Linked DNA regions of Arabidopsis thaliana. The protein of the gene in region 1 purifies or fractionates together with the protein of each later gene. This does not show direct contact. Each region holds a gene or a part of one and is shown on either strand. Other genes may lie near its edges.

Evidence for each region.
Region 2: the proteins of PRXIIF (region 1) and AT3G20390 fractionate together in Arabidopsis thaliana (co-fractionation; one large-scale study listed by BioGRID). This does not show direct contact.

What each region holds. Positions count from the first base shown.
Region 1 is NC_003074.8:1,824,362-1,831,765, forward strand, and holds PRXIIF (peroxiredoxin IIF), read right to left. Parts: upstream 3,546-7,404; 5' UTR 3,449-3,545; coding exon 3,233-3,448; intron 3,147-3,232; coding exon 3,117-3,146; intron 3,025-3,116; coding exon 2,866-3,024; coding exon of another isoform or gene 2,716-2,865; exon of another isoform or gene 2,666-2,715; intron 2,241-2,665; coding exon 2,146-2,240; intron 2,056-2,145; coding exon 1,950-2,055; 3' UTR 1,638-1,949; downstream 1-1,637. Other genes in the region: AT3G06040 (Ribosomal protein L12/ ATP-dependent Clp protease adaptor protein ClpS family protein), read right to left, coding at 155-715; TSC10A (NAD(P)-binding Rossmann-fold superfamily protein), read right to left, coding at 3,935-3,935, 4,034-4,328, 4,930-5,077, 5,263-5,850; AT3G06070 (uncharacterized protein), read right to left, coding at 6,944-7,273, 7,360-7,404. UniProt on the Arabidopsis thaliana protein: Thiol-specific peroxidase that catalyzes the reduction of hydrogen peroxide and organic hydroperoxides to water and alcohols, respectively. Plays a role in cell protection against oxidative stress by detoxifying peroxides.
Region 2 is NC_003074.8:7,107,594-7,114,908, reverse strand, and holds AT3G20390 (endoribonuclease L-PSP family protein), read left to right. Parts: upstream 1-2,979; 5' UTR 2,980-3,009; coding exon 3,010-3,397; intron 3,398-3,624; coding exon 3,625-3,740; intron 3,741-3,840; coding exon 3,841-3,885; intron 3,886-4,269; coding exon 4,270-4,343; intron 4,344-4,438; coding exon 4,439-4,488; intron 4,489-4,587; coding exon 4,588-4,682; 3' UTR 4,683-5,023; downstream 5,024-7,315. Other genes in the region: EMB2743 (F-box associated ubiquitination effector family protein), read right to left, coding at 195-506; AT3G20395 (RING/U-box superfamily protein), read left to right, coding at 1,117-1,249, 1,873-2,027, 2,230-2,313, 2,483-2,638, 2,746-2,889; AT3G20380 (TRAF-like family protein), read right to left, coding at 5,139-5,299, 5,371-5,531, 5,622-5,901, 5,994-6,163, 6,257-6,488, 6,603-6,726. UniProt on the Arabidopsis thaliana protein: Hydrolyzes the Ser-derived enamine/imine product of Thr dehydratase, protecting the plastidial branched-chain aminotransferase BCAT3 (AC Q9M401) from inactivation. Involved in Ile biosynthesis.

The sequences.
Region 1 (7,404 bases):
CCAAAGAGAAGGCAAACAATTGACCAAAGTTCTTGAAAACTCAATGTCAAGTAATCGATTTGTTATTACAAAACATCTACCTTAAGTACCAAGATGTGATCACAATACCAAATAGTGAATCAAACAAAAAAACAATCGAAGTGTCAAAAGTCACCTACTCCATAACTGCGATTCCACCAACAGCTTTGATCTTGGCTATGATTTCATTAGCTTCTTCCTTTGTCACACCTTGTTTAAGAATAGCCGGGACTTTCTCCACAAGCTCTTTCGCTTCCTTCAGACCCAAACTTGTGAACGTTCTCACTTCTTTTATCACTTTGATCTTATCAGATGCATTAAACTTCTCCAACTTCACATCGAAAGCCGTCTTCTCCTTCTTCTCCTCTACATTCCCAGCTCCGGTATCTTGTTTTGCTCCAATGCCGTCCGATGAAATCATCTGTTGTTTTGGAAGCCTCAGGTGTTCATTGAGTGCAGGACCAATCTGTTTTCTTTCTTCTGGAGATAAAGCAGCTATACGCTCAGCTAGCTCCATGATTTTGCTTGAAGGCTGGGGTCTAGGACCATACGGATCATAAACTGACGGGTATTTGTATTTCTTGGGTTTAGCTTTCGAGACAGAGTCTTGCTGCAAGAAACGAACTTGCACAGACCAGATTACTTCCGGTTGACATTGGCGAGAACGAACGTTTCTAACAAGTGAAATAAGCTTCATGACTACTATTCCTCTGCTACCATACAAACATCAACCCAAGATCATTTCATGTCTCAAAATGTCAACAGGACAGCAACAGTAAAAACTCTCCTGTGTTTTCAAAAAAAGACGAAAACTTTAGCTAGCGAATCTACTAAACATTGATAATATTCCAATGCAAAGAGATCAAGATCTCAGAATAAGACTGATTATCAAGAAATTAGTGCTTAACATAAAAATAATTTCAAGAAACATGTTTCTATTGTATAGGTTTAGGTTCAAAGGTTTCTTCTTTGCAGATCAAATGAACATATCAAGATCAGTGAAACAAAATGGTGAGTAAGAAAGGATGATTCATAAGATCGGTTTCAGCGTCAATAGCCCAAATATAAATTCCAATGTATCAGATTTGATAGTCTAGGTTATTAGCTGCTAACACAGTTCCGAAATCAAACAATGGGATCCATGAACCGCCAATCTATTATCTGAGAGTTGGAAATCGGAGAAGGAGATGAGAAAGAGAGATAAGGCTTACCTCCAACGGCGGAAACGGCAAGCTTCGCCGGCTCTGACTTGATTATTACTGTGAGAGACGGAGATGAGTCACGCATAGGGTTTAGAGTGGAAAGATTCCTCTTTTCGGCTCAAAATTACTTTTGTCTATGGGCCAAGCCCAATAAGGATCTTATCAACAAATTTGACATACTACGTCCTTGTAAGGCCTTTCACAACAACCCACTCAGCTTTCATGTCCTCCCTCAAGAGCAGCACCTAGTTCATCTATATACCTTCATACTCCACAAGCAATGGCTTTATTTGGCATTGGGTTTGAAATAGCTGGCTCCGGATTTTAGTCAAATGAAAGAGCAGCTTGTGATTGCAGAAACAGATCTCGAGGCCACAAGGTTAGAGACTCAACAATGGAAGGAGAAACACCAGGTAGCGAGGAAAGAAGCTAAATTGCTCAAGAACACGAGTGGGAGACTTAGGATTAAGCAGAGGAGTCTTAACCTTCATGTTGACAATGGGGACACGAAAAATCATATCCCTCAACCACATTGGTTTCTTATTCATATTATGAACCAGATTTACATTTGGTGAGAAACGGCAAGACACATAAGTTTTATTTAAACTGAAACTGTGGAAACAAAACAAAAGAAGTGAAGCTGTTACTTGGTCTGATCCTTGAGACATGTTCGGATCAAACTTATTATCAGTTGCAACTCAGAAGAAACAGCAACTCTGGAAATACTTTTTAGATCTGTCCTAAGATGACTTCTGCCCCTGTAACCTTGAAGTCAGACGGTGCTTCTTCCACATTCACCGCCTTAACCTTCCCGTCTTCTACATAAGCCGACCATCTGAACATGGACATCATAAATCCAACGAATCTGTTAGATCAATGGTTTACGATACAAACATTTCTACAAATGGACTTTCCAGTATATTACCTCTCAGACCGTGGCCCGAGCAATGCAGCAGAGAGATCCTTGTCTAGCCCCAAGCTTTTGTGAAATTTCCCATCAAAATCTCCATAAAACTCAATCTGGTATGACAACGTTCAAGAGCATCACATTAAGTCATTTGTTCTAGCATGTAGTACTAGTCGATATAAAGAATTATGAACTTTCTAATGAGGGAAGTCCATTTAATCATAGAATCAAATTCTTTTATCGTCTATTAATGTGAAGGTAATCATAGACAACGTTCAAGAGCATCACATTTAAGTCATTTCTTCTAGCACGTAAACTTATCCGAACATAAACATAGAAATCTATTGTAATGCTAGTCCATATCAAGAATTATGAACTTTCTAATAAGGGAAGTCCATTTAATCATAGAATCAGATCTGTTTATCGTCTATTGGTGTAATATAAAATCTTGAGACCACAGACAACGTGAATAATAGAGTAATATAGTTCTAACTATAAGAGGTTGATTACTATCAGGACGTCAACAAGAGTTACATACTTGAGGAGTTAAAAGATTCCTAAATGAACCATCTTCACCACTGAAAACTCTTAGACAACGAAACCAGGAACCGAATAATATATGTTATGTTGCAAATCAAGTTTTCTGAAGCAAAGAACCAAATCAGCATACACTAAACATCGGATTAGGTTGGTGTCAAAGAACAAAGATAGGAACAAAAAAAAAATCGATGAACTTACTGCATCTTTGGCACCAAGCTTCTCTGCCCAACCATTGATAGCAAAGGGATCATTAACAGAGACACAGATGACAGAATCAATGCCTTTGGCTTTAAACTTATCAATGTGGCTCTTGTAGCTAGGCACATGCTGCTGTGAACAAACTCCCGTGTAAGCCCCCTGAACACAGAAAACGAATATTCCGGCACAACATCAGAACTCAGAAACCTGATCAAGACATAAAGGAACATGAAAAGATAGAGATTTCTTACAGGAAGACCAAAGATGACGACTTTCTTCCCCTGCAACCAATCAATATCCACAAACGTTTTGTCAGAAATTGAAATCCCCCTCTGAATTGAAATTGTCAGAAAAGAGAGATTCGAACCTTGAAGATATCTGACAATGGCGTGGTGGAGAATTTGGAGGAAACACCTTCGTCCCAGCTGCGAGCTTTCTGGAGAGAAACGCCAGGCGCCGCCGAGGTTATGTCAGTGCCTTCCGCGAGCTTTGAGAAACCCCTCGATGAAACTCCGATCCGGGCACTATTTGCCGCCGATCTTAGTGCCGATAAATTTCTTAGCTTTAGAATTGACATCGCCATCGCTGAAAATAAGATTGAGACCGTTTCTTGGTTCCTTCGATTACTGTATAGTGTCGTTTATGGCACTTCTCAAAGACCTTTCTAAAGAGACTTAATCGTTGCCGTTTTGTAACAAACAAATCAGACTGCACGTTGTTTAAAAGCCTCAAGAACAGCACACACTCAAATTTTGGTTTTGAAGTTTTTACTTCTTTCAAATACATCATTTACATTTCATCTTGTGAAAAACATTCACTTCTTGACCAAGTAAAAAATACATTCAAATGAGTTCTTTGATTTCTCTATAAAAAAAAAGAAAAAACAGAGCTTGTTCAAAGACCGGAAACATGAATCTTGACGAGTTTCTACAAAACTATCAGCAATGTCGATATTCTGAATTGGTATAGTCGACTAGCTGGCGTGGTACCGGACTGAGAAGAAGGTTTGAGAATACCCATCAATGTTTAAGCTTCTGCCAAAAGCACTTCAAGATACATTGTCGGGCTGTCTGAAATTACAAAAGAGAAGCAATTTTAGAATAGTGATGTCGCAGTCAAGCAAGAGCAAATTCTATATGATGACAACTTGATGGCATTAGGAACTTACCATTTGGTTTTGGTTTTGCTCCATTTTTCAATGGCTTTATACCAATCCCATTGAAAGAAGAGAGCGATTAATCTTATAGGCCCTGCGGTTATAACTTCAAGAAAAGCAAGCCAAAATGATCTTTGAGGGGACATGCCGGTTGTCGCGAGAGACAGTAAGAATCCCTCAAAGTTGCATGAGACGGTGAAGTTTCCTGCTTTTATGCCATCCATAGCCTTTTTTGCTACTTCTTCTGTTTCCATTGAACCAGAGGATGCAGCTATTATGGCAGTGACTTCAGGTCTGCTCTTCTGTTCTGAGAGAGCACCCAAGGAAAATCAATCAAACTCATAATATGAACCAAGGAACTCAGAACATCAGTCCATAATGTGTTTACTTCATTAGTTATCAAAAAAAAAAAAGTGCTTACTTCATTCTCAGATAGGCAAAAAGAAGTCTTTTATGAAATTTTCAGATGCTATTGGAAGATAACTACATCCCATTATTCTCTTCTAAACAGTATCATGTGAACCACAGTACGCAGAGACTTCAAGCTAAACACTATCACAGTACTCAGTACTTAACTCACCAGTCTATCAGTTTCTCCTAACTGGCACTCTCATAGAACATGTGAACATGAAATGCTACGTGTTTGATAGAGTACACAATTATTCAGACCAGATAAGGGCACATATTTGATCTCATAATAACAAACTAGATGAATAATAGTTTATGTCTACATATGTCCCAACCATATAGTACAGCCTTATTTAGTAATCTGTCTCCAACTCTTTTATACATTTAATTGCCTTAGTATTTAGTAGCAGTACCTAATCCTAGCTACCCTCACATGTTAAACTTAGATTATCTGCTCTATACATCCATGATGAATCTGAAAAATACTGAAGCTTTTTTACCTTCTTCAAAGCCGGGTGTATTAGTGTCAGGAGGAAAAATAAGAGTGACATGAATATCATCAGATATAACTTCCTGTTGCAATGCTTGCGCTAAACCCTGAAGACCAAACTTGCTTGCTGAATATGCAGCATAACCATAGACACCAACCTGAAAATTTTATTAAAAAAAACATCCTTCATCATTCTATCTTTAAAACTGCATTACATGAGGTCACATTATTGCAGTTACACAAAAGTTACTTCAAGTGATAAATTGTCAATGTCTTACTTCAGGTAACTACAATCTCCAGATAAAACTTAAATCCATAAAGATGGGAAATTTGAGAGACGAACCTGACCAGCTTGAGAGGAGACGAGACTGATGGAAGCAGGTCCACGATCTTTCCTTGCTTTCATGGCAGGCAAAGCGGCTTTAATCACATTGAAGCTCCCAACAAGATTTACGTCAATCGTGAATTTGACATCTTCAGGACTATGTTTCACCAGCTCCTTCGCCGTAAACACACCTTGGTTAACAATCAACACATCGATCGGTCCCGATTCATCTATCGCCTTCGAGACTGCATCGTAATCGCGAACGTCTGCAGAGAATGTGGCGACTTCGACACCAGTGGCGAGCTGGATCGATTTCTTAGCCTCCTCGAGCTTTGATCCGGATCGGGCGAGGATTGAGACACGAGCGCCCTCGGAAGCGGCGCGGTGGGCGAGAGCAAGACCGATGCCGCTAGATCCACCGGTGATGAAGGCGTGACGGGACTTGATAGGGATCTTAATGGGACGAGGACGTACAATTAGGGCTAAGATAGCGAGAAGCGATAGTGGGATAATGGGAATGAGGAAGAGAAGGAAGAGAGGAGAAATGGCCGCCATGGATCTCGTGACGAAGCTCTCGGCGATGTGAAGCTCCGTCAGCTCATTCATTGGAGAAATAAAAACAAATACGATTAGACCAGTTAACCAATTACTCGGTTTAATGATTTCTATCTGAACCGGCCGTTTTAGTTTCTCGCTGTAATTTATTTTTTATATAATAATTTTGTGACTTGTTGTCGTTGTGTTTCAAAATTGGTTTCTATTTTCTAATGATGTCGTTAAAAAACAACTGACACTAATCACCTTATTTGTTGTAGTTGATTTAGACTAATACACATTTTTATGAAAGAGATGAATAGAAAATTGTATAGTATTATTTTGTGAAATTATTTTAGTTTCTTCTGACATTTGTTTCACAAGAGAACATGTTACGTGACTACGTGTGATAGAGTTAAAAAAAGATTGTGTTCGTATTGCGCAACTTGTAATAAGGAGATGTTGAGTTAATACTTTCACATATGGGTGGTTAGTCTTATATGTGACATTTAAAACTAATTTAAGATACAGCTAGTTGACAGAAAACATACAGCTTTGATCCCATATAAATGTCTAAATTGAGATGTTTTTAGATTTAAAAAACGATTATATGAAAGAATATACACTACATCTTATACTAAAATAATAAAATTGAAAGAAAAAGAGTGATGGGCATGTATGCATGTGGGTGAGAGTCTGTGACAGTCTTTTTTCGTTTTTAGATCTGACTTTGTCTATTCAAACATTGTTGCCAACATAACTGTTAACTCTGTAAGTTTGAGGTCCCAAAGCGATTGATTGGTTCTAGACCTGACTTGGAAGATTTTCCAATCTCACATGGGACTTGTCCTCATCCAGATTAATTGACCTCCATTGATCCTTTACTGATTTGATCATTTAGGTACTAATTCTATCATGGGTTGTTTCTTCATTTAACTTAAAATGATTAGAGAAAGTGATAATACATGATAAGAGAGCCTACATATTAATCTATGTGGGTTGTTGAATAAATCACACCAAATCCCTTTAGATTGATGATTTCTCCTTCATTCTTATTATTTGCTGATTTTACAAACATAATATAAAATCTATAAATATCAATAATCAATTATATATAATTATGAATTAATGACACAAATCCATGTCTTCGAATAATCTTGATTGACTAAGTGAAAAGAGATGCTGCATCTCTGTAGGTTCTTCTTGGGTTAGTAGAAGCATGATGAAAGGTGATGCTTTCTTGGTTGTTGTTGTTGAGAGTTGTAAGATTGTTGTCATGGCCATGATGAGGAAACTGTTGCTTGGGGATAAAGGAACCGATGAATCTCCCTTGCTTCTTCTGATGAGGATGATGATTATGTTTCCTTCTTGGCTGAGAAGATCTTGGGATAAACACTCCTGTTCCTTTGCTCTCTCGAATTACGTTGTAATTGATCTGCTCATTGTACATCATATATGGTGTTGCTGATGTTTGGTAGTTTCCTCTGAACAAACCCTGTTTTGTTATCAACATCGCGGTTAATCACTAATCAAGAGATATATAAGATAGAGAAAAAGAAAAGAGTTTAAATTTGGACAAACCTGGAAAGAGACAGAAGAGGAAAGTGAAATAGGGTTTTGTTCATC
Region 2 (7,315 bases), 5.3 Mb from region 1:
TAGCAATGAGTCTACTACAACAGAAGAAGTAAATTAAACAACTAAAGGCAACAAAACGAAGTCAAATATGGCAAACAAAAAGAAGTATGAGAGACGAATTAAATTTCTATATATTGTTCAAAGAAGAAGATGACAAAAGAGAAAAAGAAACAAGTAAAAGTGCAAGAAATAGATTATGGGTTTTGTAAAATGCACTATTCAAGTTGCATTGAACTTGGAACATAAGAGGACACAAGTGGTTTGAGATCTCTGTTTCGAACTTCTCCAAGATCCACTTCTTTCAAGGATCCATCCTGTCCAATGATGAAAGCTGTGTTGTGCTTCCTGTCTTTGCTTTGATTAAAAACCACAGCGATTTTCTTCTCTTCATCAATGAAGAAACTTGTAGCCATAAACGAAAACATAAAATCGTTGCCAGTGAGTGGTGTCATATCCACTGATAAGAAGACCTTGCTGCCCCACGACAACATGTTGGGCTCAATCTTAGTTGTAACCCAGATCTCCATTTCTAATGTATGCTAGTCTTCTTACTATACAAGTCTGTGTCATAGCCTATATGAAACATAAATCTAGTTGAGCTAACAAACAAATGCGGTAAAAATTAGTCTATCCAAACTCATTGATAAACATTGGTTAATGAAGAGCTTCTTTTTGCTAGATTAAGAATCCAAGATTGGAAGTTTACTGCTACCACTATAATGACTAGAATGTAAATGGCAATAAACAACTCATTCAGATCGTAGTGGAATGTAAATTGGATATATTTCAATCTCAAGCTTATCCCATCCCTTCCCATTTTCATATTTCAAAACTGCATTAATTTCTCCATTCAATTTTCTTGCTTTTATTTTATTTTATAAAACATTTAGATTCTTCTGTGGGCGCAAGTTCATGCATGCGCCAATAGAGTCGCCAATGCAATGTAGATTAGAGGTATGGGTAGTTCAGCTTCTTAAATGCAACTCCTCCTCCTTTCTCTCTTTTTTCCTTTATAAATTGCTCTTTTCTCACACTCCACACCACTCTCCAATTCAAGCTCTCACCCCATAAATAGACAAATTCAAAATATCTTATAAGAGAAAGAAAAAAAATCAATTAGTCTTCCATCTTTTCTTCATGGGCATTTCTAAGATGATTCTTCTGAAATTCACATATGTTGTTTCTTTCTGGATTACTTGCGTGATCTTCAAAATGTCAAGAACGATAAAACGAGCTTTGTTGGGCTCATTCATCTTCATTCTTGCTTCCGGTAAATTTACAAGTTATCTTCATTTTCTTATCATTTAATGCTGTTTGTTCCCCTTTTTTTTTTTGAATTCTATAGATGCTTGCTAAACTAACGTACTTTTAAAGATGAAACTTGAGACGCCATCTCATTGGTTTTGGATATATGTACTTCATTGACATGTACTTACCTCTCATATATGAATCCACACATATGTATACTATATATAGTTGACAACTTGACATGAGTGTTTGATAAAAGAACTAAAACATATTAACAAAAAGATAAAGAGAAAATTCTTGAATGGATGCGATGTGTCAAGCAACTTCTACTTACCATAAGAGTCTGATGTGGGATCTTCTTTTCCATTTTCTTAGTTTTTTCCTTTAACCTGAATTACTTGTTGTCTATGCATTCCTTAATTGAATTTAATAACTTATCTTATGTATGGATTCTCTACCCTTAAATTCTCATTCTTTAAGAAAAGTATATCTTTTTGTCAACAATATCTTCATCCAAATTCTTAGAAAAATATACTTTCTTTTTGGTATGTATCATTTTAACATATCACATTGCATTGTTTTCATTCCACATTCCATGTTAAACAATTTTATAAGATCACGAAATGTCATTAATTTTGAATGTAGCTAGTGTTGTGGTAGCCGCCATTGTAGGAGCCATCGAAGGTCACACCACTGACATCGGATTTCTTCAAGGTAGTGTGCTTGGAGTGGTGGCTGGAGTTATCACTGCGGTCCAACTCTTTGGACCGGTGCTACATAGTGATCAACCTTTGTCTAAGGTGATTGTGACTCTACATATAACCCTAGAATCTAAAAAATAAATCACTAAACAACCATATGTTTCTAGTTAAATAGTGGGAGTGGTCCTGTAATTAAGAAAGCTAGCTAAAAATGAATGGTATTCTAGTAACTAGTTATCTGAATAAAAGATGATGTTATGGTAACAATAGTTTGGTGACAAAAATATGAAAAGAGTGGCAGGTGGCTTTACTCAGGAGAGTAGTGAATGGGAAAGCCATTATGGGATTGGTTAGACCTTTTGTTCTCAAAGCATATCAATGGCAAGTAAGTACTCTCCATTCTTTTTGTTCTTCTGACTTTTTTTCAACTACGTCTTTTTATTTGACAAGAACACGATATTTTCTAACGTAAAATCAGAACCATAACAAAAAGCGTTAAACTAAGTATATTTTACAAAATTTTAACTCCGGTAATATTATAATACAAAATGCAGATAATAGCATTGGATACAAGTTACATGGAGAGTTCAAACTTATACGATTTCAATCATGAAAAAAAGGGACTATCGAAGAGCTCTATTCAGAACATCCCGATGTTCTACAACCGTTCAGAACATCAAACAAAATCGAGTTGCTCGATTTGCTTACAGGTGATAAAAATGTAATTAATTAGAATCATCTAGGAATCAGATTTTAATATATGATAATAATGACTTAAATCATATATATTTCTAATGTTCATTTTTGGGGTGTGTAGGATTGGGAAGAAGGGGAAGTAGGAAGAAAGCTAGCAAGATGTGGCCACACATTTCATATGAATTGCATAGATGAGTGGTTGCTTAGACAAGAAACTTGCCCCATTTGTAGAGACCATCTTTCACATAACACAACTTCTACATAACAATATGTTGTGGATAAACTTCACAAAGCTATGGACCGACATGACCCAACGGGTCCAAATTTTTAAAATTTGCAATCCAACTAAACTACACAAAAATAAAAATTAAATTCTCAGTAATATATGTACCTAACTAAGGGTAAAGTGGGAAATACAAAAAAACATTTCGAAGAGAAGGAAGAAGACAAAAGAAGAAGCACGAGAATCATCTGCTTAAAATCCAATCGCATCGACTCAGTCTTCTTCTTCTTCTTCACCTACCTTTCTCTCTCTCTCTCGTGGTCCATTCGCTATTCTATACTTCTTGTCGGCGCCGGAGAGAGTGAGATGACTTGGTCGGTTTTCAGATCCATAAATACTCCAACACTCGACCTCTCCACCGCACTTCGCTCCACTCGTACCCCATTGGTCGCTGCTGGTGTCGGCTGCGCAACATTCGCTGGTGTTTCTCTCTTCAGAATGTCTTCTAGATCTCCTCCTTTCGCTTCCCTCTCTGTCTCTGCTTCTTCTGGTGACGATTTTACTCAATTTTCTCCAATTTGGACCGATATTAGTACTTTCTAAAGATGCGATTTTTATGAATGTCAGTGTCAAAAAGTTGAAATTGATTTCAGTTATCATCAATGCATATGTTTGTTAGTATTGGGTTTTAGTTTCTTTCATCTTCCGTATTGAATGATCAAGGGTTTGAGAATAGGGTTTTTACTAAAGAAATGTGATGTTGTGTGTGGTGTGCAGTGAAGAAGGAAGTTGTGTCTACTGAGAAAGCACCAGCTGCTTTGGGACCTTACTCTCAGGCCATTAAAGCCAATAATCTGGTTTTTCTTTCAGGTGTTCTTGGACTTATACCTGAGGTCCGTATATATAAGATATGAAACTGTGTAATCACCATGTTGTTTCTCTTTTCTGTGTTCTAAGATTACAAGATTTGCTCTTTTTGTTTTGTGTATATAGACTGGAAAGTTTGTTTCGGAGAGCGTCGAAGATCAGACTGAGCAGGTTAGCTTTCAAACTGTCACCGTAGTCTCTATAAAAATTGGTTTTGTTTAGAGTACTTTCCACTTGCTTCTCTGTTTTGGTGGATGATTATCCACAGAAAAGGAGGTCTAGCCTCTAGGTCGTCATGATGTTGTTTGTTGGTGAAAATGTAGTGAGGGATGACAACTTAATGTGCCTTATTCTAGCTGAGTTTATTGGGATATAAACTTTCATGATACAAAACTAAGCCTTTGAAACTTTTGGGTTTTGCTTTAAAATTCTTGATTTGGTTGGTATTAGTCTTCAAATTAACTTGTTCCAGTGTAGTTGTAGCAAGGTTGAGTTGCTCTGTTTTTCCTTCCTGATTTTATCTACTTGCTTCTATTATCTTATGGAATATCAAAGGTACTCAAAAACATGGGGGAGATATTGAAAGCTAGTGGTGCTGATTATTCCTCGGTGGTGAAGACAACAATCATGTAAGGGATCTTGTTTTTTTCAACAGTACCATTGTCCATTTGAATTCTGAATCTAAATAGAAAGAAAAACAATCTCTTCTGGTTTTCTCTCAAAGGTTGGCTGATTTGGCTGACTTCAAGACAGTGAACGAGATATATGCCAAATGTGAGTTCTTTAACAAGATTGTTTGTGTTCCTACTTTGTTTGAGATGCATAATTATTAGTGGAGTCGTTAAGGGCATGAAACATTTGTCTCTGTTGCAGACTTCCCAGCTCCTTCTCCAGCACGATCGACGTATCAAGTTGCAGCTTTGCCTCTAAACGCCAAGATCGAGATTGAATGTATTGCAACACTCTAGAACACTCAAATCAATCTCTACGAAGGGTATTTTGGTCCGGAAGATGTCAAAACAAATAAGAGAAACAATGGTTTTTGGGGCTTAACCCATATTTAACCTACTTTTCATTTTGCTGCACTACGAAAAATGTTGCGGATTATCAACCATTAGGTTGGTTACAAATCAAAAGCCTCTAATCAAGAATAAGTTATTTAGTGTCTTGTCCACCCTCATTTGCTGTTGACGTATATGTATTGATTGTATACATTATTTTATTTGAGTGAAAACCATTATGCTTGAAGAGACAAGAGTTAATAACTTAATATGGTCGTTAGAAGAGGAATGATAATTTAATATTGCTAGAGAAAGAAAATATATGTAAAAAAAAATGCAAACACAAATTACCCTTTATTATTATTAGGTGGTTTGGTAACAAAGGAAAAACATGGAGCTTCAAGTTCCTATAGTTTGAGAAATCTAACTAGGGTACCACTTGGTTGAGGAAATGCCCTCGAGTTGAACTTCAACCTTCAACATATCATTCACAACAAAACCCTTTGATGAATCTCTGAGATCAGCTAGAGGGATAATCTGAAAGTCGCCCGAGTAATAAAACCAAGAAGTGTACCAATTACTAACTGCGAAAAAAGAAAGTAAAATCCCATTAGTCAATGGCGATGAGATGTTATATATCCATTTTCTTACGTACCTTGTATTTCGACGTTATTGAGTTTGCGTTGGTTAAGAACTCGAAGCTTGGCTCGAACATAAATCATCTCAAAGGGTTTGAATTTATCGTTAATGTTAAGATACAGCGACATGGCTTTTCCCTTTGAAAGATTACGACCATTCGGAAACACTTGTAAATACCTGATCATCATATAAAACAATAATTGTTAATTACTACCACTATACTCTTATAGCGCAAAGTTTTTACTTCTGTAATGATGTGGTACTCACATGCTTCTTCCTCCAATGGAGAACACATCGGATTGGTAACTTTCTTTGAGCAGCGTCGAGAATCTCAGGAGTGCATAAGTGAATATTGGGTTATCGAATTTCTCAGTGACAAATAAAGATTCAGATTTTTGGTAGTGAGAAGCAACGGTCACATCAACACCAAACTCACAGTGATTATCGTAGATGTATCCGTTTCGCAGGTCTTCGAATTGATCTGCAGACATGACCTTAGGGAATCCCAAAAGCCTTTTGGGTGCAGTAAATTTCCATACGTTGGTATCTATAGATTATAACAAAAATGTTACTATATATCATGCACGCATAGATAATTATTCTTGCTTGTTATACATATTGAAAAAATTTAGCAAAAACCTTGGACGGTAAAGTACTTCTTCTCGTTGTTATTGAAGATGTAAAACCTTAGATCCGCGTAAACGACTTGATCTGCAGTGATGGGGGTCGATTCGTGTAAGAGTACGTAAAGCGAAACGTATCCTGAAGTACCATCCCACGTGAGCCCGTTAGGGTGTACCTTAAGTACCCTGTATTATATATCATGTCTTTTAAGACCCATCAAAAGATTTTTGGTACATAAGATTCGATTCATGAAAATGAAGATCAGAATACCAACATACCAGTTGTATCCACCAGCTGCAAAGGGACGAGATTCGAATCCCAAGTAGGGGATTTTAAGGAACGAGTTATAAGACTCTATCTTGAAAGAGTAAGACGAGGGAGGAACTTCTGTTAGACCTTTCACTATGTTTGAAGCTGATACTTTATAATCAAGTGATGATGAGATCTCATTATGTTTATGCAAGTAATTTCCTTTTTCCAGGTTTGGTGTTGGTCCATCTTTTCCCTTCTCTGTTTCAGACAAAAATACAGAGCATTTGAAAAAAGAAAAAAAAACAGAGGATTATGTCCACACACAAAATCTAAGTTACATAGATGAATCTAAGAGTGAAAGAGATTTTATACGCTGTTGAATTGTGTTGAAGTCATCACTGAATTGTCGTATAAAGGAACCCGCAGACGAAGATGTGATGAAGAGACAAAACAGGAGATAAACAAAAGAGGATGTGTTTCTGTAGAGACTCGTCATCTTTCAAGGTTATGACTTATGTGAATGAAGTGAAGAGAAGAGAGGTTAGTGGAACTTATATATTAAAGAGATAGAGAAATGCTTTAGGATGGAGTCTTCGAATATTAGTTAGATTCTTACGTAATAATGTTGTTTCAAAAACAAAACATGATTCGATGGTTTCATTTAGCATCGTTGACTTTTGAATCCATCTCAAGTTTGGGAGTGCCCTCACTTGAAGTTTTCATTAACTTGACCATAAAATAATTCTACATCAGATGAATAAATTTTTATAAATCCTATATGAACTTCAATTTTCTTAAAAAAACATTCAAAAACATATGATTGGAACTGAATACAGTAGTTTGAATTAAATTATAAAATAGGTTCAAATGCATTGTAAGTTTTGATACCTATGAATAAAAGAATCAATGGATTTTTTTCTATGGAGGTTGGAGTCTACTGCTAAAGTACTATCATTAATGTATTGCCATAAACAATAAACAATATTATAATTGCTAATCTTAAATCTCCACTTGATTATAAAGATAAAGACTAAATCGATCAAAAACCAATACACTAGATCCAATTGCTCTATTCTTTAACTTTT